Linked DNA regions of Cricetulus griseus. The protein of the gene in region 2 interacts with the protein of the main gene of each other region in a pairwise test. Links are inferred from orthologs where the notes say so. Each region holds a gene or a part of one and is shown on either strand. Other genes may lie near its edges. The genes, in order: Ca8, Maged1, Smap2, Ttc23, Pitx1, Tfg and Rbfox1.

What was found.
Region 1: the proteins of Maged1 (region 2) and Ca8 interact in binary tests that used the Homo sapiens proteins (3 or more experiments, as listed by UniProt). The two-hybrid records come from large-scale screens. The link is inferred for Cricetulus griseus from reciprocal best matches to the Homo sapiens genes MAGED1 and CA8.
Region 3: the proteins of Maged1 (region 2) and Smap2 interact in binary tests that used the Homo sapiens proteins (3 or more experiments, as listed by UniProt). The two-hybrid records come from large-scale screens. The link is inferred for Cricetulus griseus from reciprocal best matches to the Homo sapiens genes MAGED1 and SMAP2.
Region 4: the proteins of Maged1 (region 2) and Ttc23 interact in binary tests that used the Homo sapiens proteins (3 or more experiments, as listed by UniProt). The two-hybrid records come from large-scale screens. The link is inferred for Cricetulus griseus from reciprocal best matches to the Homo sapiens genes MAGED1 and TTC23.
Region 5: the proteins of Maged1 (region 2) and Pitx1 interact in binary tests that used the Homo sapiens proteins (3 or more experiments, as listed by UniProt). The link is inferred for Cricetulus griseus from reciprocal best matches to the Homo sapiens genes MAGED1 and PITX1.
Region 6: the proteins of Maged1 (region 2) and Tfg interact in binary tests that used the Homo sapiens proteins (3 or more experiments, as listed by UniProt). The two-hybrid records come from large-scale screens. The link is inferred for Cricetulus griseus from reciprocal best matches to the Homo sapiens genes MAGED1 and TFG.
Region 7: the proteins of Maged1 (region 2) and Rbfox1 interact in a two-hybrid assay, tested with the Homo sapiens proteins (2 studies listed by BioGRID and IntAct). The link is inferred for Cricetulus griseus from reciprocal best matches to the Homo sapiens genes MAGED1 and RBFOX1.

Annotation. Positions count from the first base shown.
Region 1 is NC_048595.1:152,453,388-152,457,366, forward strand, and holds the start of Ca8 (carbonic anhydrase-related protein), read left to right. Parts: upstream 1-1,179; coding exon 1,180-1,279; intron 1,280-2,028; coding exon 2,029-2,220; intron 2,221-3,979. UniProt on the Homo sapiens protein: Does not have a carbonic anhydrase catalytic activity.
Region 2 is NC_048604.1:75,451,632-75,455,768, reverse strand, and holds the start of Maged1 (melanoma-associated antigen D1), read right to left. Parts: upstream 2,801-4,137; 5' UTR 2,635-2,800; intron 2,090-2,634; 5' UTR 2,061-2,089; coding exon 2,016-2,060; intron 1,321-2,015; coding exon 619-1,320; intron 59-618; coding exon 1-58. UniProt on the Homo sapiens protein: Involved in the apoptotic response after nerve growth factor (NGF) binding in neuronal cells. Inhibits cell cycle progression, and facilitates NGFR-mediated apoptosis. May act as a regulator of the function of DLX family members.
Region 3 is NC_048595.1:31,195,823-31,199,322, reverse strand, and holds part of Smap2 (stromal membrane-associated protein 2), read right to left. Parts: intron 2,915-3,500; coding exon 2,749-2,914; intron 2,191-2,748; coding exon 1,877-2,190; intron 1-1,876.
Region 4 is NC_048596.1:129,512,652-129,516,151, reverse strand, and holds part of Ttc23 (tetratricopeptide repeat protein 23), read left to right. Parts: intron 1-900; coding exon 901-1,028; intron 1,029-3,500. UniProt on the Homo sapiens protein: Participates positively in the ciliary Hedgehog (Hh) signaling.
Region 5 is NC_048596.1:274,817,914-274,821,917, forward strand, and holds the start of Pitx1 (pituitary homeobox 1), read right to left. Parts: upstream 2,801-4,004; coding exon 2,632-2,800; intron 442-2,631; coding exon 209-441; intron 1-208. UniProt on the Homo sapiens protein: Sequence-specific transcription factor that binds gene promoters and activates their transcription. May play a role in the development of anterior structures, and in particular, the brain and facies and in specifying the identity or structure of hindlimb.
Region 6 is NC_048597.1:35,455,611-35,459,110, reverse strand, and holds part of Tfg (protein TFG), read right to left. Parts: intron 1,844-3,500; coding exon 1,697-1,843; intron 1-1,696. UniProt on the Homo sapiens protein: Plays a role in the normal dynamic function of the endoplasmic reticulum (ER) and its associated microtubules. Required for secretory cargo traffic from the endoplasmic reticulum to the Golgi apparatus.
Region 7 is NC_048600.1:39,362,281-39,365,780, forward strand, and holds part of Rbfox1 (RNA binding protein fox-1 homolog 1), read right to left. Parts: intron 2,155-3,500; coding exon 2,062-2,154; intron 321-2,061; coding exon 260-320; intron 1-259. UniProt on the Homo sapiens protein: RNA-binding protein that regulates alternative splicing events by binding to 5'-UGCAUGU-3' elements. Regulates alternative splicing of tissue-specific exons and of differentially spliced exons during erythropoiesis.

The DNA.
Region 1 (3,979 bases), on a different chromosome or scaffold from region 2:
AGTGAAGGATAGGAATCCAGCATCTCAAAGTCCCCCAATTAATCATCTCCATCCTGTTTGAGGAACTAGCATGCATAAAGATGTAACGATCTAGGAACCACAGTCCATTAATCTGCTCACAGACATTTTGGAGTGTGCACAGGATATATAAAAGGTAAATTGTACGCCAGGCCTGCAGCCGAGCTTATCATACAAATATATCTCCTAAAATGTGGAGAACAGAAGCTTAGGGGTTACTGAACAGGGCTGGAACACAGAGATGAAGCATTAGCCTGGGGTTGGGAAACATGTTCCAGAGGTAACGACTTGACCTCTTTGGATCAGGGAAAGTTCCTGTTTGTTTCGTAATGTGTGCATTTCATTATTTGCACGATTTCACGAGTTGCTTGGGAGCAGTGTACGCAGTAAGGTGAGTCTGAAGCAGCACCCCGGACTTAGAAAGTGGAATCAAACACCCTGTTTCCTTGTCTTTGAAATACATTTAGTAAAGACCTCCCAAAGTATACCTACTTCTTGATGCTAAATTCGTCCTTTTCTTTTCCTGAAATGTTTGTAGGAGTTTCTTGAGGGAAAAAATGCTATGCACATTTTCACTGTGCTCTAAGGACGAATTAAAAAGTAAAACCAGCTCACAGGACAGCGACCCAGGCTGTGGTGGTGCATTCTTGCAACCCCAGTGTTTACGAAGTTCAAGGTCATTCCTTTCTCCACAGGGAGGAGTTTGAAGCCAGCCTGGTCTCCTTGAGACCCTGTCTTACAAAATCAAGCCCCAACAAAACTAACGGGTAAATGATGGGGAATAAACCCTTTGACCACAGTCTTATTGAGTTCTCGGTCTTCAATGCCCTTCCCATGCCAAGGCCACCCATCCGCTCATTTCAGGACATTGCCTGGAGCAAGGTGAGGCGCCCGGGCCAGGCGGGTCCTGGGGTCGCGCTTGGGCGCAGCAGGCTTCCTGGGGTGCAGCCACCCCAGCTCGGCTTTCTGCTGGCGGCTCTGTTGGGGGGGGGAGGAGGGAGGGTGTTAGTAGGGGGCGGGTCTTCAGGCCAGACACGCCCCCACCGGCCTTAAAACGCGCCAGCCTGAGTCCAAGCCGCCGCTGCTCGCGCTCGCGGGGACTGCCACGCTCCGCGCGGCCCCCAGCCCCGCGCCTGCCGCACCCGTGCCGCACAGCTGCCCATGGCTGACCTGAGCTTCATCGAGGATGCAGTTGCCTTCCCCGAGAAGGAGGAAGACGAGGAGGAGGAGGAGGAGGGCGTGGAGTGGGGCTACGAGGAAGGTAGGTTCCTGGGGCTGCTGTCGCTGCTTCTCTGCCCGGCGCGGTCCGGCGCCTTCCTCTCCGAGGCTGCCCGTCCGCAGTTCGCACCTGCTGCTCTCAGGCAGCCCAGCCCGGAGCAAACCTAGTTGCTTCCTAGTCTTGAGAAGTACAACCAAATGCGCCAAATGCGTCCCGAATTCAAGCTGGGTCAGTGTTCTTGGAGACTTTAAAAGGAGTTTCCTAAATCTGTCCCGGAAGCCCAGGACTCCTAATAGACATTAGTGCCCATGTTTACTGTATACAGAGGGAAAAAAGCGCAAAGGAGTCCATAAACATGTGCATGGGATACTGTATTTGCTTTTTAAACAAGTGTTGCTACTCAGCACCACAGGGTTTCTGCTGTCTCTGAGCATGTTGAACATTGCAGATATTTTCTAAGTATTGCATGTAATTGAACTGATGAGCAGAGGAAATTCTTGTGGCGTTTTTTCTGATCACTTAAAAATGACTTACGTTTCCCAAATCCCTAAAATCAAGGCATCTGTGTGCACAGATATAAACACACAGTAAAGAATTTCGTGTGTGGTATTATAAATATAAACAGATCACTCACATAATGAATGTAAAAACCCATACACATTTCTCATATTTCATTTATATATAGATGGTAGTCATAGCTATAATATCAAGGATTATGAGTTTTTATGTTATATTTTATTGTTGCTAACTTAAACAAAACCTATTCTCAATTTTTGTTATTTTCTCCTCAGGTGTTGAGTGGGGCTTGGTGTTTCCCGATGCCAACGGGGAGTACCAGTCTCCTATCAACCTAAATTCCAGAGAAGCTAGGTACGATCCGTCGCTGCTGGATGTCCGTCTGTCTCCGAATTACGTGGTCTGCAGGGACTGTGAAGTCACCAACGATGGACACACCATTCAAGTTATCCTAAAGTCAAAATCAGGTATTTTGGAAAGTGTGTTTCTGCGCTTTTGTGAGCAAGTGGACAATCTCTGATTTAACTTACAGGGTCTTAAAGGGGGCACCGATGCAATTTCTATCTTCATAGTTCTTTACAAGATGCATTTTCTGGGAATTATATTCTGAAATAGCTGTGAAGGGCTAAGAGGGTGAAGTGATGGCTGTCTCAGCTGGCTGTTCTCCCAAAGCTGTGCCTGGAGCCGCCTCTGTTGCTTGAACAAACATTTACCGAACTGTGGGGAAAGCAGTACATACACAGGCATGTTTATTTGAGTTTTTTTTTTTTCTGTGCATCTTGTTCAAAATTATTGATTAGCTGAAATCATTTAATTATAATTCTTCGTTTTTCTGGTTTGTGAAACCAAAGATCAGAATTTATTGATGTTGTTCATGTTCAAGATAAACTTTTCAAATTAAATTTCCCTTCTCTATTAATGTCAAGAATGATTTTAATAACAGTTCAACCCAGCCAGATATTTAAATGGAAACCTAGCTGGATATTTAAATGGAAGCTTAGCCAGATATTTAAATGGAAACCTAGCTCTTGGTTTTGTTTAGTTTTACACACCCTTCTTCGTGAACCTAGTTGAAATGGATCTGAAATGGTTTGTGGAAAAATTAAATTTCCAGGGAAATTGGTTTTCAGCTTAATTGTAGGAGAGATGAAAGCAGATTAAAAAAACAAGCATTAACATTGTGTTTTTCAGGGGGATAATGACCGTTTTCCTCCTGGAAAGAATGGAACATTAGAGTATGTTGGATGTTGATGTGAGCTTTAATAGGCTGTGCTTACGTTAACTTCAGATTGATAGGGTAGGTATTTTAAATCATAAAACCTTTAGGTCTGACATTAGGCAAGGAAGGTACGGATTTCTTCCTTTAACTTATCATGTTTCGGCACTTTATTTGAAATCTGTGAGATAGAACATGTATTCTTTGAGGCTGTTGTAAGTTTAATCAAGGTTGTGATGGCTCCTGAAGCACAGTCTGTGTTTTGTATAGAGTTAGTATATTTCTTCCTAAGTTCCTCCTATGTCTTGGAGATGTTTACCTCTGGCTATGGTATATTTTACATTACCATATACTTGGTATACTCCTTTGTCCTTTTCCTCCTCTGACTTCCACTCCTGAGTGGTAGGAAGAACCACCTGTATTTCTGTCCTGCTCCAGGTTTTGTCCTCCAGTCCTCTGGGACTTTCCTCCCTCACATGCTCTGTTCTCTTTCTGTCACTGCAGTAATTTCTCCTTTTCAATATTTCAGCAAACTTAAAAGTTAATTGGTGGTGTGCATGGTGGCACACACCTTTAATTCCAGCCCTCCAGAAGCAGAGGAAGGTTGATCTCTGTGAGTACAGGCTAGTCTGATCTACATAGTGGACACTTATCTAAAAAAGACAAGTAACTGAAAAAAACAATGTCTTGAGTAGTTTATTACCTTTTTTAGGATATTTCAGCTTCTGTAAACTCTGAACACCATTATTTATTTAAGGAAGTATTTTCTTTATCAAAATGGAATACAGACATAATTTGAATAGTTGGCTATTTCTTTATTTTCTCTACCTCTAGCTACAGCCTATCTCACTCCTCCTACAACTTGTTTTTCTCTAGCAACAACTACTTTGAATCTCTAAGAATTATTTTTTGTTTGCTGAAGTCATAATATAATTTCATCATTTCCCTTTCCTTTCTCCAAACCCTCACATATACCTTTTCTTGCTCTTTTTCAAACTCATGACCACTTT
Region 2 (4,137 bases):
CTAGTGAGGCCCGCCTTTGATCCCCACTGCTGTTCTCTTCCACATTCAAGTTATTAATCTGCATCGTAAGAGAAAAGAAAATTCCAGAGTCACTATTAATCCTTGGTCCTCCCAGCAGCTAATCTAGGAAGTTCCTATGAATTTTCCACCTATAAGGACATTCTGACCCTTCACTAGTCATCGGTCACTTTATGTTTATTTTTCATTGTCTTTCAGGTGGGAGATTCATGTCCAAACCAGACCAAGAACAACCATAAAGTGGGGACTAGGGCTTCTCCTTTTCCTGTGTGACTACTGCTATCATCCTGAATTCAAGCCATCTCATTTCATCCTGTGTTTTCTCTAGCTAGTGAGGTGAAGCTTCAATGATAATTTGGTGTGAGCCAGCCTAGCTTACGACCTCACCCATGGTGTTTACTGTCAAAATGTAAAATGACCTATACACAGGTGGTACGGTGATCCAGATTATCTGTCCTTGTATAAACTCACCATCAACCTGTGGACAATCAGGGGTCAGGAATAAACATTTACCTCAACACCCCCTAAAACCTAGCCCCAATACAGGTATATGCGCCCTTTATTTTGTTTGGAGCTAAGTAAAGCTAGGAGGGATCTCACCTTGCGGGTCCTCTTGCCCCGAATTATAGTCCGAGACTCCACATTCTGAGCCTGGGAGCCATCGGCTGAGGTCTGTGCAGCTGCACCACCAGTTTCAGAGATACCTGGGCTGGTCCCTACATTAGCCATTTTGGCCTGGTTTACATTCTGGATCTGGGCATCAGCTGCAGGGACCTTAGTGGTATCATTCCAAGCCTTAGTAGCTGTCTTAGGCTGGTTGTTGATCATCTCATTGGCACTGGGAGACTGAGAGAAATTGTAGGTGGCACCAGGGCCTGCCTTAGTAGTGGTATTCTGGACCTTAAAGGCTATTTCAGACTTTTTAGCTGCTGATTTGCCTGTGGTTGCTCCGTGGGAAAAATTAGAGGCAGCATTTGGCCCTTTAGAGGTGCCATTATGTGACTTATAGGCCGCCTTAGACTGGTTCTTGGACATCTCCTTGGCATTACGTGCGTGAGAGAAATCATTTGGACCCTTTGAGAAGGTATTCTGGGCTCTAAAGCCTGTCTTAGGCCTAGCAGCTGCTGTTGAAACCCCAGTATCAGCCACCTGATTGGCAGTTGGGGGCTGTGAACTCTGGGGACTAACATTCTGCCCACTGGCAGCTGCTGTGGCCTGGTTGGTGGGTGGAGCCTCGGAGATCTGGATGGCTTCCATCAAGGTCTGCACAAGCAAGGCGCTGTCTTCTACAGAGGCCTCAGCCTGCAAATACAGGAGGGGGAATTTCAACCTCTGGGCCTTACAAGCCAGATCAGAAGGAGGGGCATACGCAGCAGGGGAGCTGTAGACACGCATCGCAGTTCACAGATCTGGGGGCACAGAAGGGTCAAAGGGAGGCGGGGTGGGAACAAAATTTGGTTAAGAATAGAGGGGGCAGGACAAGGTGAGGGCAGTCAGAGGCAGCAGGGACTGGTGAGGAACCGTGGTGCAACCACTGACCCCAAACAGGTTCAGAGCCGGACTGGTTAGGCTTGCGGTGGGGAGCTCAAGACCCGAGGAGGAGGAGGGAGGAATCGCGGAGGATAAGCAGGGAGGGTGGAGGGGGAGTCTCGCGGCGTGGAGAAAGGGAGGGTGGAGGCGAGAGGTTGGGGGATGGGGCGACAGACTGCTCTACACGCGTCAGGGTTATGGAAAAAAAAATGGTTCCTTACCCAACCCGCATTCTCTGGGCAGAATGCCCTGACTAACAGGGTCTCCCCTTTCTCTAAGCAGGGACCGATGGCTGAAAAGGGACGCCCCTCCCCCCATTCGATAAACGCTAGACATTTGAGAGCCAGCGGAGTCTAGGCCGGAAGAAGGGCAAAATCAGAGCCTGCCATTTGTGCCACCAAAGGGGCCGGGGGGTGCGCGTAATCTGTCAGCAGGGAAAATGGAGGAATGGGGAGCGGGGATCTCACCTGGTAGCCGCGGAGGCCTGCACCGCCGTCCGGTTTCTGAGCCATAGCTCTTGTGTCTCTGGCAAGAGCAGAGCCTAGGGGGGTGTGGGAGAGGAACTAGGCATTACACTACAGAAGGAAAATACGTAGGGCCGAATTGTGTGTGCGTGTGTGGTTTGATGCTGGGGGCGGGTGAGGTGCTGGATAAGGGGAGAAACAAGCCTAATCAGAGCGGGAAAAGTAAATGAGCATCCTGATGGGCAATTTAAAAATTCCAGAACCCGATAGGGAAAAGCTTCAAATCCGCGTTCTGGAATCTGATAAGAGCTCTGAATGCGGCAGTTTTCGGGGGGCGGGGGAGAGCGAGGGGGAAAAATTCGCTTCTGGAAAGTTGGATTGAGGTTCTCAATCAAAAGGAATCTATAACGGATCAAGGTCGAGAAATTTGAGGATTCTGTGAAGGAATGGGATAAGGATTCAGAGAATGAACGGGGTTCTAAATTAGATGGGGGGGGGGGTAAGAATCAGGGATCGGGTAGTGGAGGGGGTTTCTGAATCCAGGGTAAAGGGATTGGGATAAAAGAATGGGGGAAGGATGCCACACCAGGGGGCAGATGCCCAGTCTGGGGGCTAATCTCACCTTGCCTCAGGCCCCAACCCCAACCCCCTTGCTGTCTCCCTTCTTCACGACTCAGAGGATCAGGATTGCTGTGCTCGGCTCTCAGCAGCCGCACTCTCTCCTTGTCCAGGAGAAAATGCCAGCGCGGCAGCTCGGGCGACCCCGCCTCTTCGCCTAATATACCACCCACCGCCTCAGGAAGCCTCGCGCATGCGCAATAGCTAACTGTCCAAATAAGAGTCCCGCTTGCTTTCCCAACAAAAGCTTCATCCTAGAGACCTTGTCGCGCATGTGCACTTGGAGGAGATCCCGCCTCTTTGCCAACACACTATCCCACCGCCAACCAGGTTGACAGTGTACGAAGGTTCCTCCCCTTCTTCTTACGCACCCACTCCTCCAACAGATGCGCAGCGCCTTTTGGTCCCACCCCCTTGCCCAACACACCAGCCCCCTACCTTTATCCGCAATGCGTCTCTCCTCAGTCCCTCCCTTCCCCCCCCACCCAGGACTCTCTAGCCAGGCCTGCAAGTACCTCCCACCCCTTGCTTAGGGCCTCTTAGGTAGGCCTCTGCGGGGGGTCTCTTAGTTCGCTGCAAGCTAGGCCTCTGCTGAGTTCACCCACTTTGCAACGCAGGAACCTTAAAGGTCGGCCTTGGGGGGGATACATTCCAGGAGGTAGCAAAGCAAGTGCCAGCCAGGGGGTAGATTTCCTCTGACCAGACTCAGAAAATGAGCTTTTCTCTTGCCGCCCTCCCCACCCCGTTTTCTTTTTATTTATTTATTTATTTATTTATTTATTTATTTATTTATTTATTTGCAGTTTTGCCATGGAAACATTTCATGAGGTGTGGGCCAGAGAGGGGAGGGAAAGGCATAAGGGCAGTGGGATCTGTCCTGGAGCTGGTTTTTCTCGAACATCAGCCCTAGAAGATTGATGGAGGGCAACATCTTCATTTTGCATACCAGGTAGCTAAATCATAAACCCACTGTATGAACCAGGGCACTGAGCAAGTAACAAACAGAGAGGGCAAAATTTGGCACAGCACAGTGGTGCACACTGGTAATCCCAGCACTCTGGAGACTGAGTGAGGAAAGCCACGAGTTCCAGGCCAGGTGCACAACGCTGAGACTTTATCCAAAAACCAAACATGGGGCGGGGCGGGGGGGTGGGGTGCGGATTTTCCTGACTGCAAAATCTATATAGCTATTAGTGCTGGTCTGAGAATCAAGACACCCCTTAATTTTTCATTGAAATGACAATCTTTCCTCTCCCCAATATTTGTTCCAAGTGGACAAAGCCTGTGTTCTAAGAGGCCTAGTATATGTGGGAACCCTTCAGGTTCACTCTGTACTCCCGTTGGCAGGCACTTGCCCAGAGTGAGACCCCAGGACTTGATGATGCTTGCTTGAGGCCGGAGCAGTCAGGTGTGTCTGTTCTGTTCTTGCAGAATGAACCTCGGCTGGGCTTTAGAATTGCGTGATTAGTGTCGGGACTATCTGTCCCTGGTTATGTGAGCCCCTGAG
Region 3 (3,500 bases), on a different chromosome or scaffold from region 2:
TATGTATGAGTGTTTTGTCTCTGTGTTTGAATGAGTACCATGAGTGTGCCTGGTGTCTGTGTAGGCCAGCGGAGGGCATCAGTTCCCCTAAACTGGAGTTACAGACAGTTGGGAGCTGCCAGGTGGGTCCTGTGGAAGAGCAGCCAGTGCTCTTAGCTGCTGAGCCATCTCTCCAGTCTGGTTCTTTTACTCCTTTGTTTTGTTATTAGTTTGTGTATGTGTCTGTGGGGGGATGTGAACATGGACACTACACCTTTTTTTATAATTAGTTTCCTTCTCTCACCTGGTCCATGCCTTTTGTTATCAAATATATTTTCAGCTGAATCCATTCACCTTACTTTAGTCTTTATTTCTGATATTATTTTGTCTTTTTTTTCAATTTGCCCTTAATGCAGTGAACTTCCATTTTACAATTTGCAGTTTTCACAGTTCTCCTGACTCAGCCTCCGAGTTCTGGTAATTCAGGTGCCAGCAGCCATACCTGGCTTCAAGCAGTCTTTCTTTCTTTCTTTTTTTAAAATAATGTATTTGCATTGGTGTTTTGCCTGCATGTATGTCTGTGTGAGGGTGTCAGATCTTGGAGTTACAGACAGTTGTGAGCTGCCATGTGGGTGCTGAGAATTAAACCCGGGTCCTCTGGAAGAACAGACAGTGCTCTTAACCACTGAGCCATCTCTCCAGCCCTCAATCAGTTTTTCTTATTTGCAAATGTTTGTTTAAGGGGACTTCATTCAGGTTGGTGAATGTGTAACATGTTTTTTCTGCTTCATAATTGGGAGGGGGGTTCATTACCGGCAATTCTTCAACTTTAAAATGACTTCTTTGGGTGGTTCATGCAACCTGTTTTGAACATAATTACTCCTCACCCCAACACTTCCCCAATTCACCCAACTTCCCTACTCTCTCAGCTGTGTGTGTCTTTCTTCTTTTTTAATCCTTCAAGAACAATTTGTGCTAACCAAATAGTCTCAGATACATGGTCTTCTACTGGAGAGTGGTCAGTTTACCAGGGTAGCACTTAGGGAAAGCTCTCTCCTCCCCCTAGCTCCATGGCGTGGGGTGGGATCATGTACTCTGACTTTTGTTTTCTACTTTCGCCAGCTACCACGTTCTGCTAACTTCCTAGCACCTCATTCTTCTGAGGCAGTGACAATGCAAACAGACGTGAGCATTTGGGGATATTACAGACAGGCATTCCAGAGCGCCCTCTCCTGTTTGTGGAATGACTACACAGATGAATGGATGGTGTGTCTTCTGCTTTGTCTGTCTATTCCATTCTTCACTTCTTTCTTTCCCATCACCTCCAGACTTTCAGAGACTTTCCTCTTCCTATGTCACACCCGCCTCCACACATACAATGTCTTTCCAAGTCACCAACCTAGATGCCCGTGTGTTTCACTCCCATGTCTGTGAGGCCCCAGGTAATCAGAGCTCTACTCTGCCATGCCAGCTCTCAGTATGCCTCCACCAGGATGGGCCTTTCTCCTTCTGGCTTTGTCACCTCTAGGCCTCTGCTCTCTCTCCTCTTTCTGCATAGTCTCCTCTCTGGCTCCGTGGGATTAGGGTGCTCCTAACCTTAATGTCATGTCATGCATCATGTACTAGCGCTTTTGCTTGTGCCCCCTGATTGTCTGTAGAGGTTTGTTTTGTTTTTAGGTGTGGGGAGACTCAGTCAGTCTATGGGTCTTGTTCTCTGGGAACTTAGGAACCCTCAAAAAGTCTGACTTCATCCAGGCCTTCTAGGGAAATAAAATGAGGTATATCTCTGGCATTAGCTTGTCCATTTGGAAAGGATTTGGGGGATAAAGGAGTGGCACCAGGTGGGACACCCAGGAAGGCTCTCAAGTCCCATCCCAGGTACAGTACGGCTGCTTACCTGAGTAAGGTTCCACTGTAGCTGCTGAGCTGGCTGAACCCCATACATAGTCTGGGGCATAGCTGCCATGCTTGCCATGTAGCTGGCCTGTTGAGTCATCATCCCGTTGGGCACACCCATCATGGAAGCCTGCATGCCCCCCATGTAGCCTGCAGGCATGGCCATGGGGGCCACCATTCCAGAGGCTCCTGGTTGAGCTACCATGCCTACTGGTGGTGGCATCATGCTCCCCATGATACTGTTAGGTGGTGTAACCCCAGGGAAACTGGGGTAAGCTGTGGGATATGCCATCTGAGCAGGAGCCATGAACATTGCTGCCAAGAAAACACACATAAGGGTCTGTTAAAGAGTAAAAGACACGTTAGCCCAAATACTCACCAGCTATTCCTTTCCCGGAAGTTCTCTGATTACTCAACTTGGAATCCTGTTCTCCACAGCAAAGCAGCAGGGTGAACTCTCTTTAAGTCTCTCTGAGGTCACCACTGGGCCTTGCTCTTATCTAGTCCTTCCTTTTTCCCGGGCAGACCCTCTCCCTCATCATGCTGGATCCCATCCCTGCTGTATTCTCTCTCCATTTCATTTCATATGTGTGAACAGAGCCTTTCCCTCTCATGGGGCCCTTTCTAGTTTCTTGGACTCTAGCCTTAATTACTCTCATATGTGGATTCTAGCACACATGTTTACTTGTGTGAGAGCAAAATAAAACATGTGGTATGTATGTTTCTAAGGCTGGTTATCTCAATAAAATTTTTTCCAGTTCTATCCACTGTTTACAAATTTCATTTTTCTTTATGGCTGAATAAAATTCTATAATTTTGCATGTTTGTTCTCAGTATGTCCTTGGAGCACCTCTGTGACTTCACAGACTTTACCTTGGGCAGGCATTTGAGGCGTCTGGGATCCATACAGTGAGAGGATGGAGTCCTTGGAGAGCTGTTTCTTGCCTGTTTCTTCTGATTTGCTCCCTGGCTCAGGAAACAGGTTCAGGTTCTCAGGGACAGAACCAGCACTCCCTGCAGTTGGCATGGAACCCACAGCCTAGGGCACAGAGGACAGTGGCGAAATCAGTCAGCATGGAACCCACAGCCCAGGGCAGTGAGAAAACCACTGGGCATGGAACCTATACCCTAGGGCACAGAGGACAGTGGGAAAATTGGTTGGCATAGAACCTATAGCCTTAGGGCATAGAGGGCAGCAGAACAATCAGAATTGTTGCCTGTGTAAGAACCCTTACAGTTTCTGATACTTCTACCATTTCTGATTAGAATTAATGGCTCATGTATAGTTGTGAAAGCTCATACCTATAATCCCAGAATTTAGCAGAAGGCTGGCTGAGAGTTTGAGGCTACCTGGGTAGTGAATTCTAGGTCAGCCTGGGCAATGTTGTTAAAGTGTAAGACAATGGGGGATAGTGGGTAGAGAAAAAGAAATGAATTTATAGCTTATGTTAAGTCAGTTTGTCACTGTGGAGGCGGGCTTTGAGGTCTCATATATGCTCAATCCATGCCCAGTATCTCAGTTCACTTCCTGTTGCCGGTGCAAGATGTACAACTCTCATCTCCTTCTCCAGCACCATGTCTGCCTGCATGCTGCCCTGTCCCACCATGATGATAATGTACTGAAC
Region 4 (3,500 bases), on a different chromosome or scaffold from region 2:
CCATTGCCCCATCACGGGACGCAGCAGAGCCACAGGCTGGGGCACAGGCTGGAACCTCCAACAGTGTGAGTACCATTAGCTGTCCTTACTTTATGCTGATTTATCTCAGGTGTTTGTTTCAACAGCAGAGGGTTGTGTAGTCACAGCTCTGGTCTTCAATTCCCTTTCCATTTTCCATGCCTTCGATCTTCCTTCTCTTGCTCTTCTGATTATCATTTATGTCAAACCATTTTTATTTTATCAATCAGTGTGTTTAAGAGTTTAGAATGGAGCCAGGCAGTGGTGGCACACACCTTGAGTCCCAGCACACTCAGGAGGCAGAGGCAGGCAGATCTCTGTGAGTTCAAGACCAGCCTGGTCTACAAGAGCTAGTTCCAGGACAGCCTCCAAAGCCACAGAGAAACCCTGTCTTGAAACTCGCCCCCCAAAAGAGTTTAGAATGGTTGGGATTTTTCTTCGCTAGTGTATCAGCTAGATTTTCTAGTTTTGTTTTTTGTTTTTGTTTTTTTTTTTTGGTGTGTGTGTGTGTGTTAAAGAAATATAAAGAGTCCACAGAACTATATGGGTTGTGAGGAGTGACTGATTTCTAGGCAGAGAAAATGTTCTATCAATATCCTAGTGTGTTCGGCTCTGGGATAGCTTCCCCCTCCCTGCCCCTCATATCACCAAGAACACTAAAATGTCTGAAAAACAAGAAAAATAGCTTGCTGTATCCTTCTGAGGTGAAAATAGTTTCTGATAAAATGAGCAGATTAACGGGCACAAGAGAGTCCCTCGAACTGGCTTCTCTTATCCAAATGGTTATTTTTAAACCTTTCACCGTCACTAACAACATATTTGCTCCATCTCTGCTTTGGATCTTTGAGCTATTTTCAAAATGTTCTTCTGTGCTCTTTTCAGATATGGCCGAGCAGTATTTTCAGGAAAGCATGACTCATGTGAAGGATTCTGAAGGAGCAGGAAGAGTCAAGTTCCTTTCCATTCAAGATGAATTTTGCAATTTTCTGCAGATCACTGGACAAAAAGAAGTAAGTGAGTTTAGATCACAATTGTCAAGCTATTCCTACGGGATGCCAAAGACTACTCTTTCAGCCTTCAACCATCTGTTAAACACCTAGTATATACAGGGCATGTCCTAGCCTCTGGAGAGACCCAGGTAAGTAAATCAAGGAGCCACTCTCAGGCAGCATCCACATGCTTCCTCTTAGAAACAAAACAGTGAGAAATTAAATGCTACATCCAACTACAAAAGGTCACGAAGGGTTGAAAACCTTGAGAACTCAGTGGGCAAGAGCCCTCACTGAAGCCCAAGGTTCTTCCAGCTGGGGTGGTCTGTGGCCCTCAGTGTGGTCAATTCCTTTTTTCCTCTTCTGTATATTGAATGGAATTTTCATTTCTAACAAAAACTACCCAGCACAGAGGTCCCAGCTCACTGTCTCTGCTGCTGGTCTGTAAAGGCATGCTCAACATGACTTAGAAAGGTAGGACAAAGCCAGAGCTTATAGTATACTAAAAAAAATTTCCGTGTAAGTCAGAGCAGCTCCAGGAAAAGAAAGTAGATAATTTAGAGGTGTGTGGTGTGTGTGTGTGTGTGCTGTGTGCTGTGTGTGTGTGTGTGTGTGTGTGTGTGTGTGTGTGTGTGTGTGTGGTATGTGTGTGCATGTGTGATGTATGTGTATGTGTGTGGTGTGTGTGTGGTATGTGTGTGTATATGTGATGTGTGCATGTGTGTGGTGTGTGTGTGTGTGTGTGTGTGTATGTGTGTGTGTGTGTATGTGTGTGTGTGTGTGTGTTATGTGTGTATGTGTGTTTTCAGTCTAGCATAGCAGATCTTGGAGATGAAGATGAAAAGTAGTCTTTCTTTGTTGTCTGGAGTTGTCTTTGTTGTCTTCTCCCTACTACGCTTTCCTCATCCTTGACTTCTTTTCTCTCAGTTAAGGACCACGGGCTTTTATTCTGCACTCATTCCATTTGTCAGGCCAGAGTAAATGCACAGTCACCATAACAAATAGTGTTTCACTGTTCTTCTGAATCACCCAGCCAAAGATACAGGGCCCTGCTAGGGCCTCGGATTCCTACCCGAGACTCCATCTTAGTCCTATGGGGACTTCACAGGTTCCTCATTCACCTCCAAGTTTCCTCAACACACACATGGTTTAACATTTCCCCTCCCACCATCCATCATCTCATCAGGACCACTCTAGAATCTTCTCTTTCCCAGGTGCTTCCTCCCCACTTTTACCTTAATCTGTTCAGATTCTGAAAGCACACCTGAACATCGAACACTCATTTGGTTCTCCAATGAACCTTAATACCCTCATGGCAAAGCTGGCATGACCCTCCCAATGTCCAGAGTCTGCTGATGTTTTGTTTTGTTTTGTTTTGTTTTGTTTTGTTTTGAGATAGGGTTTCTTTGTATTGCTTTGAAGCCTATCCTGGCACTCGCTCTATAGTCCAGGGCTGGCCTCGAACTCAAAGAGCTCCCCCTGCCTCTGCCTCCTGAGTGCTCAGGATTAAAGGTTTTGCCACCACCAACTGCCCAGCAAGCTCCAGGAGCCTTCTGTCTTTGCCTCCCTAGCTCTGGGATTACAGGTGCACACCACCACAGCCGGCATTTTTATGTGGGTTCTGGGGATTGAACTCAGGCCCTTATGCTTGAGGTACTTTTAAAGACCATCTGCCTCCCCAGCCCATACTGCCCCTTTCTAACACCTCCCTGCTATGACTGCTCTTAATAATTCTGGTTCTTCCCATTAAGTTTTCCCATCTGCTTTCCATTGTCATCAGAATGTGTCTTTTAACTTGACACGCACCCATCCTAGTCTCCCTAGTCAACAGAAGCAGTGTCAAAAGCTTCATTCAGGAGAAGAACCTCCAGCCCTTCTCCCCATCACTGACTGACTTCCCAAAGCCCAGCAGTCAAATCCCATGGGAAAGCCACCTCACAGGTGTTGGGAGGGGGATGCATGGAGATCCCAGACCTCTGAGTGCTGCAATGAGCCACACTTGGCAAGTTACACAGTTGCTTTGCCTGAGAAGTTGATTTCTGCTCATTACCACCCTTAATGTGCCAACCCAGTCACTAACTCACGTTACTGCCCAAAAGGAGCCATGTTCTTCATTCACATGTCTGCCTGTCTACGACATGGAATCGGGATGTGCCCCCATCCACCCATACCAGGGCTATGCTATGGGAATCCCTTTCTGTGGTCCTGGCTTTATTTGACTGTTGAATTCAGCATTCACGTTGTACAACCATAACTATGTTTTCAGGTGGAAGATCCAGTAAGAATTTCAGGATGTGTTGGAAGTTCAGGCTTTCCCCCTGTATGTCTTAGTATCTGCAAACATTAATAATCGGGGAATATTATTTTCTGACCAGCTCCTATTTTCCTATTCCATGTTGGCACAAATAAATAGGACAAAGCATGATGTCATGCTCCATGGAATGTTTACTTTCGGCTTCCTAAGCATTCACCGTGAGAACAGAAAGTCCAGAA
Region 5 (4,004 bases), on a different chromosome or scaffold from region 2:
CTGGGGTAGGGACAGGGTCTGACAAGGGGTGCAGTGGCTCCAGCGGGTTAGGTGAAAGGGCTCGGAAAGTAGCAGCCCAGGGGCCTAGCTGTGGGATCTCGGATGAAAGAGGGGGAGGTCTGCGAGGTCAGAGTTAAGTCTGACCTACCGAGGGCCGCGCCAGAGGTGTCCCGCGGGTAGGGTAGCCCTGCACGCGCCCCACGCTCACCCGCACTCGCGGCTCAGTGAGGTTGGTCCACACCGCAATCTCCTCTCTCATGCTCATGTCCGGGTAGCGGTTCCTTTGGAACGTGGCCTCCAGCTCTTGCAACTGCTGGCTTGTGAAGTGAGTGCGTTGCCGCCGCTGTTTCTTCTTCTTGGCTGGGTCCTCTGCTCCGCCGCAGCCAGCGCTGCCCGTGCCACCGTCCTCGGGCCCCTTGGCTTCCCCGCCGCGCTCCTTGTCTGCAGCAGGTAGGAAGGGCGCGAGTCACCTCGGGCTAACACTATTGCACCCGGTCCCGGCTCCACCGAAGCCGGAGGGAGTGGTGGCTGCCCTCCCTCCGACCAGGGACCCTAGGAACTGTCCCCCACTGGAAAAGAGCGGGCCGGGTGCTGGTCCTTAGTAGGCACCTCAAGGTCTGGTGTGCCACCGAGAAGAGCCCAGACGCCCCAACCGGACCTGGGGTCCCGGCTAGGCGGAGCCTGCTTCCTGAAGCCCGCGCTGGCTGCGGCCTGGCTGCTCCTGTCACCAGCAAAAGCACACTGTGTTTGGAGACTCTTGCGGGTGTAAATCTTCCCGGAACATCTCTGTTTTTCTGAACTAGTACCAGAAATTTCCAACTTAAGCTAGTAGATTTGTGGGCTAAGAGCCCAGCAGCAGCTGAAACGTTGTTGCCCGAGCTGTGTCAGAGCCACAACGGCCTCGGGTCCCAAGGTCTAGAAAACCCACCAACTGCAGCCTAGATAAGACAGGTTCTGTGTAAGTGACCGTGCCTCTCTGTCTCTTTAAAGCTACAGGAGATGCGCACAGCCAATAACATTTAAATATAAAGAAAAGGAATTAAAAAAACAAAACAGAAGCCTAGAGAAGCTCATAGCTCTCCACCTAAAAACACAAAGGTCCACAAATCCTCAAAGCTAGGCAGACAGAACCAGAGCAAATGTAAATCAAGAAGTCAAAACCATTCGTGCAAACACACCCCTAAACTAAATACAAGGCCAAATGTGTATAAACCAGTCACATAGGTATTTCTCTGGGAAAAAAAATCCATGCATCATTGCAAATAAGTTTTAGACCCCTTCACAGTAACACCCTGGTAGAGATTTTCGAACCCTAGAGAAATACGTTATAGCTATACTATTTAAATTCACAAAATAAAACTGCTACAAAAGGGTTTTGAAAAAAAAAATCTCAGAGAAATGCGCCATTTTGAATTGACTTTTAAATTTTGCTCCAAGAATCATGCGGTATGTATGTATTTTAAATTCCAAAGAAATACACCTAATGAATTGTCTCAAAGGAAGCATACGATTAAAATTGTTAACCACCCCGCTGATTTGATGTAAAAAGCAATGTATAACTATGTTCTTTTTTGAATTTTAAACAAACACCACGCTTAAAACTTTTGAAAACAAAAGTACAGGCAAAGCTTTGTTTTCTAACCAAGCAAACAGACCGGCTGGGGAAAGTCACTTAGAGATGCAAAACAGAAACAAACAGACTAAATCAATGAGGCACCCAGGGCCGGGACAGCGGGCAGCCGGGTGCTCCGCGGCCACCCGGGGTTGGGACCCAACGGATTCGCAGCCACTCTGAGACAGGACAGGCCTGGAAACGGCCACAGCCGAAGCCGCCCAGTCGAAGGCTCAGCTCTTGGGTGAAAGAAAGAAAGAAGGAAAGAAAGAAAGAAAGAAAGAAAGAAAGAAAGAAAGAAAGAAGAAGAGAGAGAGAGAAAGAGAGAAAGAGAGAAAGAGAAAGAAAGGGAAAGGAAAAGGGAAAGGAAAAGGGAAAGGAAAGAAAAGAAAAAGGCAGCGCGGAATTTGTGGGGTCAGTCTAGAACCGCTCTGGCTGGACCCTTGGTGGCTCTGAGCTCGGGCGTCCACGTGGGCCGGGACCCTCCAGCAGGGTTCCTCCGGAGTCAGTCCGCGCCTCCTGGCCGGCTTGCTCTCGCTGTCCCCCGGAGCTCCGTTTGACTGACCCCTGTCTTCTAACCTGCTCTGTGCGCCTACCCCTCCTTTAGGACCCTCTCCTCCTTCTGCACCTCCCGGTTTGTCAAGGTGTCGCCCGCCTGTGTCTCTCTGGGCACTTTGTCTCGCTTTCCCCTCCATTCTCCATCTGCTGTTTGCCCTGCGCCCCAGCGGCTCCTCAGCGATCAGTTAGGGAAAACTCAACTTTTTGTTTTGTTTTGTTTTTTCCTCGCGCGTGCAATTTGCGCCTGTTCCACAGAGGCTGTCAGTCCCACTCTGGGCTTGGCGTGTGGGGACTGCTTGGAAGCGGCTTCGCGTGTGCGTGCGAGAGCGTGTGTAAATTTCCGCGTTCACCGTCAGGTCGAGACCGGGCAAAAGAAAGCTCCGGCATGCCCATGCCGAGGCGCAGGGGGACCCGGCCGAGCGCCAAGCCGCTGGGTGCGCGCCGCGGGGAGCCGCGCTTACCTGGCAGATCGGTGTCGGACGACTCGCTGGCCGAGTTCTCCAGAGGCTCCCGGGGGTCGGCGGCGCGGGCCAGGTGAAAGCTGGGCCCCATGTCGTGCGGCGGCGGTGGAGGTGGCCGCAGCCCCTCCGGCAGCCTCTCCAGGCTCATGCCTCCCTTGAAGGCGTCCATGGAGGTGGGGACCGCAGCGGGCGCTCCAGGGGCCGGGGCTGGGCGCGCCCGGCCGCCCCGGCTGCGACCTGTTGGGGACAAGAGCGCGGCGCCTAAGCGGCTGCCCCCCAGGGCTGCCCGCGCCAGCAGCGACGCCGCCCGCGCTCCATCGACCGCCCGGGGCTGCGGGGCCGGGCGTGGGGCTCCGTGCTCCGCCACGCGCTCCGGCCTCAGCCGCCCGGCCGGCCCGGGCCCCGCTCCGGATTCGAGGCCGGTTTCTAAGGCTCGGGACGGAGCCCGCTGAGTCTGTCTGAAAACGACAGCGCGCGCCGCCAGGTTCCAGCAGTCCCTGCGCCAGGGGTGGTGGGTGGGCCTCGGTGGGGGGGCTGGGGGAGAAGGAGGAGGGCGCGAGCGAGCGGCGAGCGAGCGAGCGCGGCGGAATCCAGCCCCGAGCCGCCGCCCGCCCGCCCGCCCGCCCGCGCCCTCTCCGCCGCCCTCCCTCCCTCTCTCCCTCTCCCTCCCGGCCTCGCCGCGCCCTCCCCCTCGCAGCCACCTTCCCGCCGCCTCACCCCCCCCCGCGGCCTCACCGCGCCTCTCCCTCCTTCCCCGGTGACACACCGACTTCTGCCTCGGCCGCACAAAAGAAACGCATCTGGCCTGCAAGTCCCGCGCGGCTGGTGCCCACCTTGGGGCCCCAAATGACTTGTTTCGCTGAGAGTCAACTCCTGTCTGGGCCGCTTCGAAGTCGCCAGCCGCTGGCGAGAGCAACCTAGGATGAGTGAAGGTTCGCCCGCCGAACAGGATCGCTCTGAGCCCGCGCCTCCGAGCCAGCACCAGGCGGGGGGCCGAGCCAAGGGCCGGTTCCCGGCTCCCGCAGCTCCCAGCGGTGTCCTCGAGGGGCCGCCGGCCCCTCCTTCCCCAGTCTCTTCTCCCAGGAACTCGGGCCGGTTGAGTGACAGCAGCCTGCGAGCTCTAATGGGCCCCCGGATGCAGTCTTCTAATTAGCTTGGACACTCTCCCCTAAGGCTGCTTCTCAGGCCTTCGTCTGCACCGCAGTCAATTTTCCGGGATTGGGATAGAAATGATGGCTTCTAATCAGACGAAACGTTTCTGTTGGCTCTAGGCCGTGGTGAGTGGGGCTGGAGACCCCAAGAGCCCAGCAAGGCCCATTACCTTTTCCACCTCCGCCTTTGTTTTACACCTCCTATGATCAGGCTTTTGGCAG
Region 6 (3,500 bases), on a different chromosome or scaffold from region 2:
CTCCTCAAGTTGCTTTTGGTTATGGTATTTCATCATAGCAATAACACCAATTGTGTGTGTGTGTGTGTGTGTGTGTGTGTGTGTGTGTGTGTGTGTGTGTGTGTGTGTGTTAACACAAATGTACATGGAGGCCAGAAGACAATCTCCAGAGACATTTCTCAGGAGCTGTCCAGTTTGCTTTTTGAGATAGGGTCTTTCAATGGCCTGGAATCCACCAAGTAGATTATAGCCCAAGAACATTCCACACACACTATATAACAGAGTTCTATTCCTTAGAGAAGAATGTGGGTCACTTAGGCAATTGCTGCATGGTAATAGCTATATGTTGGTTGAATTTTGGTCTGTCCTTCATAATCTTTGACATGGTTATGTACATGCTATTTGAACGTGCATTAATTCTTCTGGGAGAATGGTCTAAAATGTTTTCATTCAATCCTTGATTTTAGTTTAGAAAGCTCAAGTTCATGGCTGGGGAGACTGTTCCAGAGGTACTACTTGCTTTATATTGAAGAGGACCTGAGTTTGGAAATGCTGGAATCCAAATAACAAGCTGGCTAGGTAGTACATCCTGTAACCCCAGCATTGGCATGACAGGAGGCAGAAACAAGCAGATTCCTGGACTTTACTGGTCAGCTAGACTAGCCTACTTGGTGAAGTTCCAGGCCAACTGGAGACCCTGTCATAAAGCAACAGGTGGAAGGCACCTGAAGAATGACACCTAGATTGTCTTGTGACCTCCAAAAGCACATGAACACCATGCTGCACTTGCGAGTACCTCCACCCACACACAAAAATGTACACAAAAGCAAACAAAAAAGGGCAACAGTTCAGAATAAGCAAATTGCTTTACTCTGAAGCATATAAGCCTTCATCATAAAAGTGTCCAAGAACAGTTTAGTAAATTTCACCATATTCTGAAATAAAGGTGAGCTTAGACATTACTAATTCATCAGCAAATATTTATTGATCATTTACCAGCTTGAAATGTGCCAATAAGCCTGAAATTATCTTTACTATTTATAAATAGTTCATGCCACCAGTAAAATGCAAAAGTTTTTCCTTTGCATATTATTAAAAACTGTGTTAAAATATACTTAAAAATACTATTTTAAAGTACTAATCTAAAATTGCTTTGCACCTGAAACTTAGTTTTTACTACATAAAAATCATAAGATCATTTCAATTCCTAAGATTCCTTAGTTATCCCACGACAATTCACGAAATCAAAGGGTTTGAAAACAAACCTAACGCATGGACTTCAGTGTCTGAGACTAAATGTAAAGAAACCATCACAAGAGCACTACTGACTTATGCTATCCCCTGGGCATTAATTTACTACTATTCAGTACTGGGGACTGAATCCAGAGCACCGCACATGTCAGGCAAGTACTCTTCCACCAAGCAACTTCCCCAGTCCTATAGAGCACTTTAAAAATGGGGTTGCAGGCCCTGTTGTCCCATAGCTCTATGATTCAATCCAAGAAGCAGTATAATGCAACTTCACAGTAATCCTAACAAACAGCTATCAGATGCTGACATGTACAGAAAGAAGCAAGGACAAGAATAAAGAAAGATGCAAAGGATGTCATCCTACTCCTACCAAATCATCATCATCACACACACACACCCTCCCTCCCTCTCTCCACAAACATGGTAGAAGAATTCATCAGAATAGAATAAAATAAGCTCAGCTTACCGTTTTCGGGAATACTGGTAGAAGGTCCTGGTTCTCCAGGTGGCTCCAAGCAATCCAATAAGCGATTCACTTTATTCCGAAGTTCTATCAGTTCTCGACGAAGATATTTCACCTGACTTGATTCAAGGGGTCTTGGTTGGCCATTAACTAAAATGGAATCAATAATTTGCTTAAATTTAGGAGATGAAATTAGAGTAAGTATGCCATTAAAATAACACACTAAAGAAAAGTAATCAGAAGAAATAAGTCATTTTACTTTCATTCATTCATTTTAACTTGTCTGTGCATGGGGAGTATGAATGCTGGTGAGTGCTCCCATGGAGGCCAGAAGTTGATGCTGGCTGTTTTCCTCTATGGCTTTTAACCTTACTTCTGGAGACAGGTTTCTCACTAAACTAGCTAGCTAGATTGGCTGACCAGCAAGGCCCGGGGATCTGTCTGTCTTCTTTCTACCCCTGCTGAGTTGATGAGTGTTTGTGGATCAGAACTCAGATCCTCAGGGTTGAATAGCAAGAACCTTACACACTGAGCCATCTCCCTCACCGCTAAAACTATTTTTAGAATGTTAAAATTTAAAAGTATTAAAATATATACCTTTAAAAAGTAACAAAAAACAAGACATGCAGTTGATGTCATTTAAATACATCCCCCCTCCCCTTTGTTTTTCAGACAGTGTGTTACTATGAAATCCTGGCCAGCCTGGAACTTTGTTGCTATGTTGACCAGTCTAGCCTCAAACTCAGAGATCTGTCTGCCTCTGCCTCTCAGGCACTGGAATGAAAGGCCTGTATCACCATACCAGGCCTTTGGGTAACTTTCTTTCTTTCTTTCTTTCTTTCTTTCTTTCTTTCTTTCTTTCTTTCTTTTTTGTAGGAAAAGACAATTGCTTATAGCTTACTTTCTAGAAGCAGAAACACCACCAGTCGTGATACTAGCAAAAATGTTTACTATAAGAACTATAATAATAAAATACACTGATACTGTAGAAAGCTCTAGTTTCATGAAAATTACCAAACTGAAATTCTTTTAACAGAAATAATTTAACTTCCAAATTATATTTTGTACTATGTAATATTCATGAATTAATACAAAACACATTTCTCTATAGGTAAGTAATAAGACAAAATATGACTGACAAATGTTATCCAGCTTGCCTCTATTTGACTTCATTAACACAAACAGGCCAGGCCTTTAGTCCTAGCACTCAGGAAGCAGAGGCAGGCAGGTCTCTGTAAGTTCAAGTACAAAGTGAGTTCCAGGACAGCCATGCTGTTACACAGAGAAACCCTGTCTCGAAAACAAAAGAAAAAGAAACAAATACAGTTGTTCCCAAAAGGCACCTATCAAGCCAGGTGTGGTGATGCATTTGGTTAATCCCAGCAGTTGGACAGGTGGAATCTCTGAGTTCAAGGCCAGCATGGTTTACACAGGAATTGCAGCCAGTCAAGCCTACACATTGAGACCTTGTCTCAATAACAAAGTATCCATTAACAAGTTATGCAGAGCTTATGAATCAACACCATCCTTCAAATCCACTGCTTTTACAGGTACTAGGTAAAGCCACAAGTCAATTACTGAATTATCACCAGGGATTTTTTTTTTTTTAAGAAGGCAACATTATCTAATTTAATTACCCATTCTCTCAAAACTGTGTCACAACTTGGAAAACACAAATGAAATTGTATTGAGTCCTCATTTCTTCATTTTCAAGATCCAGCCTCTTAGCAGTTACTTTCAATTTTGTCTAAAACCAAATCCTATCTGAACTATCAGTTTCTGAGAAAATAAGTGTCCTCCCATGACT
Region 7 (3,500 bases), on a different chromosome or scaffold from region 2:
TTGACACCAGTGCATCACCCCTAGTTGAAATCAGTGGGCTAACATGAATAAGTAAGACATGAAGTTGGATGGGAGATATGATGTGGATTCTTTAGAAGGATTGGAGGGGGGAGTTGGGAGTACATGTGGTAAGATAAAATGTATCCATGTATAATACTTTTCAAAGAATAAAATGAAAAAGAAACAGATTCCCTGGTTAAAGAACACTGTGGACTTGTAGGCAAAGAAGGTATCTTGTGGTAGGCAGGTATCTACTTACCATTGGTGTATGGGTTGACAGTCTTTTTATTAGTCATTACACGTGCTGTTGCGTTATTAACCTACACACATAGAAAACTCAAGTGAGTTTGGATGCCAAGGCCAGCCCATGATTCAATTAGTTGCATGCATTATGACTGTGATTACTTATTGAAATCAAAACCAAGAAACAAAAACTTAAACAAAAACTGAAATGCATTTTAATTTACAAATGGCAATAGGTGCATAACCCAAAAATCATACATTTTTATAATTACATTTACTTCATAACAGATTTAACTTACAAATCATTTCAATAAAGCAATGTCATCTCATTTAAAAGTTTAATAAAGAGACAGTAAAAGCAAATTAAAAGATAATGCATAATTGAAGATTTAAAAGCATGCGTGTGCTCCATGGTAACACAGAAACAAGAGATAGGTTTTTAAACAGAAAATAAAGTTAATATGAAAGGGGCATGCAGTGGAGAAGGGAGAGGAGACAAAGTACAGGGAACATAAATGTCAAAGAAAGGGACAGACAAGTTTAAGCCGTGTGCAACACTTTGGGAAGGGAAACCATGGGGAAGCAACATCTAGCATTCAACACTTGGAACAAGAGCCTTTTACATTGCAAGAATTAACGAATCATTCAAGCTTTAAGGTCACAGCTAACAAAAGGATAAAAGAGAGGGTGCATTGTGTAACACAATATGGAGTTAACGATCTGAGTAAGATGTGCACTGGTCATAACTCAGTCCAGTCAGAGCCTCTCAGGCTAGCTTAGAACGTACACTCAGTTACAGGCGTACCAAAGACCCAAAAAAATAGAGCATCAAGAAAACTTAATACAACAAGTCAAAAAAATCCACGTGGTAGAGAGATATGTATAGAGATATATCAGCACTAAATACGTGAAGCGGCAGATGGACTTCATCACTTACCATTCACCACCATCGCCAGCATGGGTTTGTATACAGTTACCATGGTTACTGAGGGTTTGGTGAGGGGCCTAAGCGTTACCGTCGAGGGGGGAAAATAAAAAGGCAAAATATGCGACATCTTACTCCAAAGACTAAAGCATTTTTAACTGGTAATTTTTTTCTTTTCAAGTTTTAACAAATATGACCCTTTGATTGTGTTGAAGAGGAACCCAGTGGTACAAAGGGCAGGTGCTGAATGTCAGAACGAAGGGTCTACATTTCCAATTGACAGGGGCCATGACTTAAGCGGGAAATGCTGATTGCCTATTCAATGTCTAATCATTGAATGCAGAAATTGAAGCTGGCTTTTGTTTTTTTAACAGCAAGATTTAATGACAAGTGCCTCTCACTTTTTCTGTTTTAATATTTTGAAATGTCATTGCCTTGGAAATTTGGTCTAATTTGCAAACCACTGTGGATCCCTCTTCAACCCTAAAGTGGACTAAAAAGGAAACAAAATAAAACAAAACTTGATATATATTTGGTTTTGTTTGGATACTGTGTCCTCTTTGGAACCTATTGCACCCATTGTTCATAAAACATGGAAAATAAAATAAAACAAACAGACAGAACCTTTCATATTAACCTCCCTTTCATCTCACTTTTTTTTGCCATCTAATCTCCAGCAGTAATATAAAGAATAATGTAAAGTAAAATTTAACAGAAAGTAAGGCCAGTTTTCCTTTTTATATCTAAATATATATATATAAATATATATAAACAATGAGAAGGGAGTAGGGTCACACACGAGACACCAATGATGCACCTGGAAGGACAAATGAGCGTGAAGCAGACATTTATAAAAAAAAAAAAGAGGAAAGGAAAATATTTTGGACATGCACCTCGATTTTACGGCCCTCTACCACGGTACCGTGCAATTTCTCCCTCGCCCTGTCCGCATCCGCACTATTTTCGAAAGTTACGAAACCAAATCCCTGCATGCAGGAGGGAGAAGGAGAACAACATGCATATTATTATTTCAGTCAACGACCACTTGGTAAAGTTCTCTCGCTTTCATTGCTATTTCTTGTCCTGGCTTCAGTTCTGTAACATGCAAATTAGAGAAATTATAAGAACACTACGATGTGCAGTCATTAAGCAACAAATGTGAACGAGATTTTTTTCCTGTCACCAGTTAGCTGGAACCCCTAAAGAATTCAAAGATGGATATGGAAACGAAAACCAAACCAACAAACAAACAAAAAAAATACCTTTCTAAACATCACTATGAAAGAAAAGAAATCAAACAAAAAGAAAACGAGATCAAAATAAATGTACAGTGTCTTCACAGAGAATAAATGAAATAATGAGGAAAAAGAAAGGGAACCAGTTTCTTGACATGCAAATTAAAAAATCAAACAAAATAAAACGTGTGCACGGGAATTCAACAGTGAATGCTCAAGTCCTGTCACATTGCCTACGGAGTCATGCTGCGTGGATTTAAGAACAGTTCTTCTTCATGCAATTTTAAGGTTATTCGATTCTGTCAACTGTACAGCATTTGCTTCTCAAAAATAAAAGTAACAAGCCTAAAAAAGGAAAGACCTTTTCTTATAATAAATTTTGAACTTGTGGTTCTAATAAACAAAAGAAAAATCACATGAAATGAATAGAAACAAACTTTTTTGGTTAACAATGTAGATAAGCAAGTACCATTCTACATTTGTACTTTGCCCTCCCCCTTCCCCAAATAATAAAAGGCTTTAGAATTTGACCTTTTATATTATGTTATTAACCAAAAAACAAAGTTCTAGGGCTCTAGGCTGGCATTCACTTGCTATGTCAACAGGTACCAAAGTAAAGACATTTCCTAGATGGGAGAATCTATGTACCATCTGAACCCATCCTCTTTGACTGATAAACATCAAATACAGCCCTTGTTTGCATCACAAGTACAGTTTTTGCTTTTAATATTTCAGCCTCTAACACCAACCCCAGTATTCCATTTTTTAAAAATCCATCTTCATTCTTTACTGACACTGTTTCTATGATGAGTATAGAAAAATCTGACATACTATTCCTAAAATCCTTAAATATATTTCTACATTTTGTTTAGAAATATATACACCAACCTTTGGAATAATTCCAGTATGTTGGGTCCACATTGGTATAAGTAGGAAGCAATTTCATACTCTATCAATTTTCACAGAATAAACCTAACACACAGTCAAGACAGTTACTTGACCCTCATACACGACATTGAGCTTTACAAATAAAATATGCAATAATTACACTTTAGAGTGGTAATAGCCATCTGATATTGGACAATAGTCCTATAATG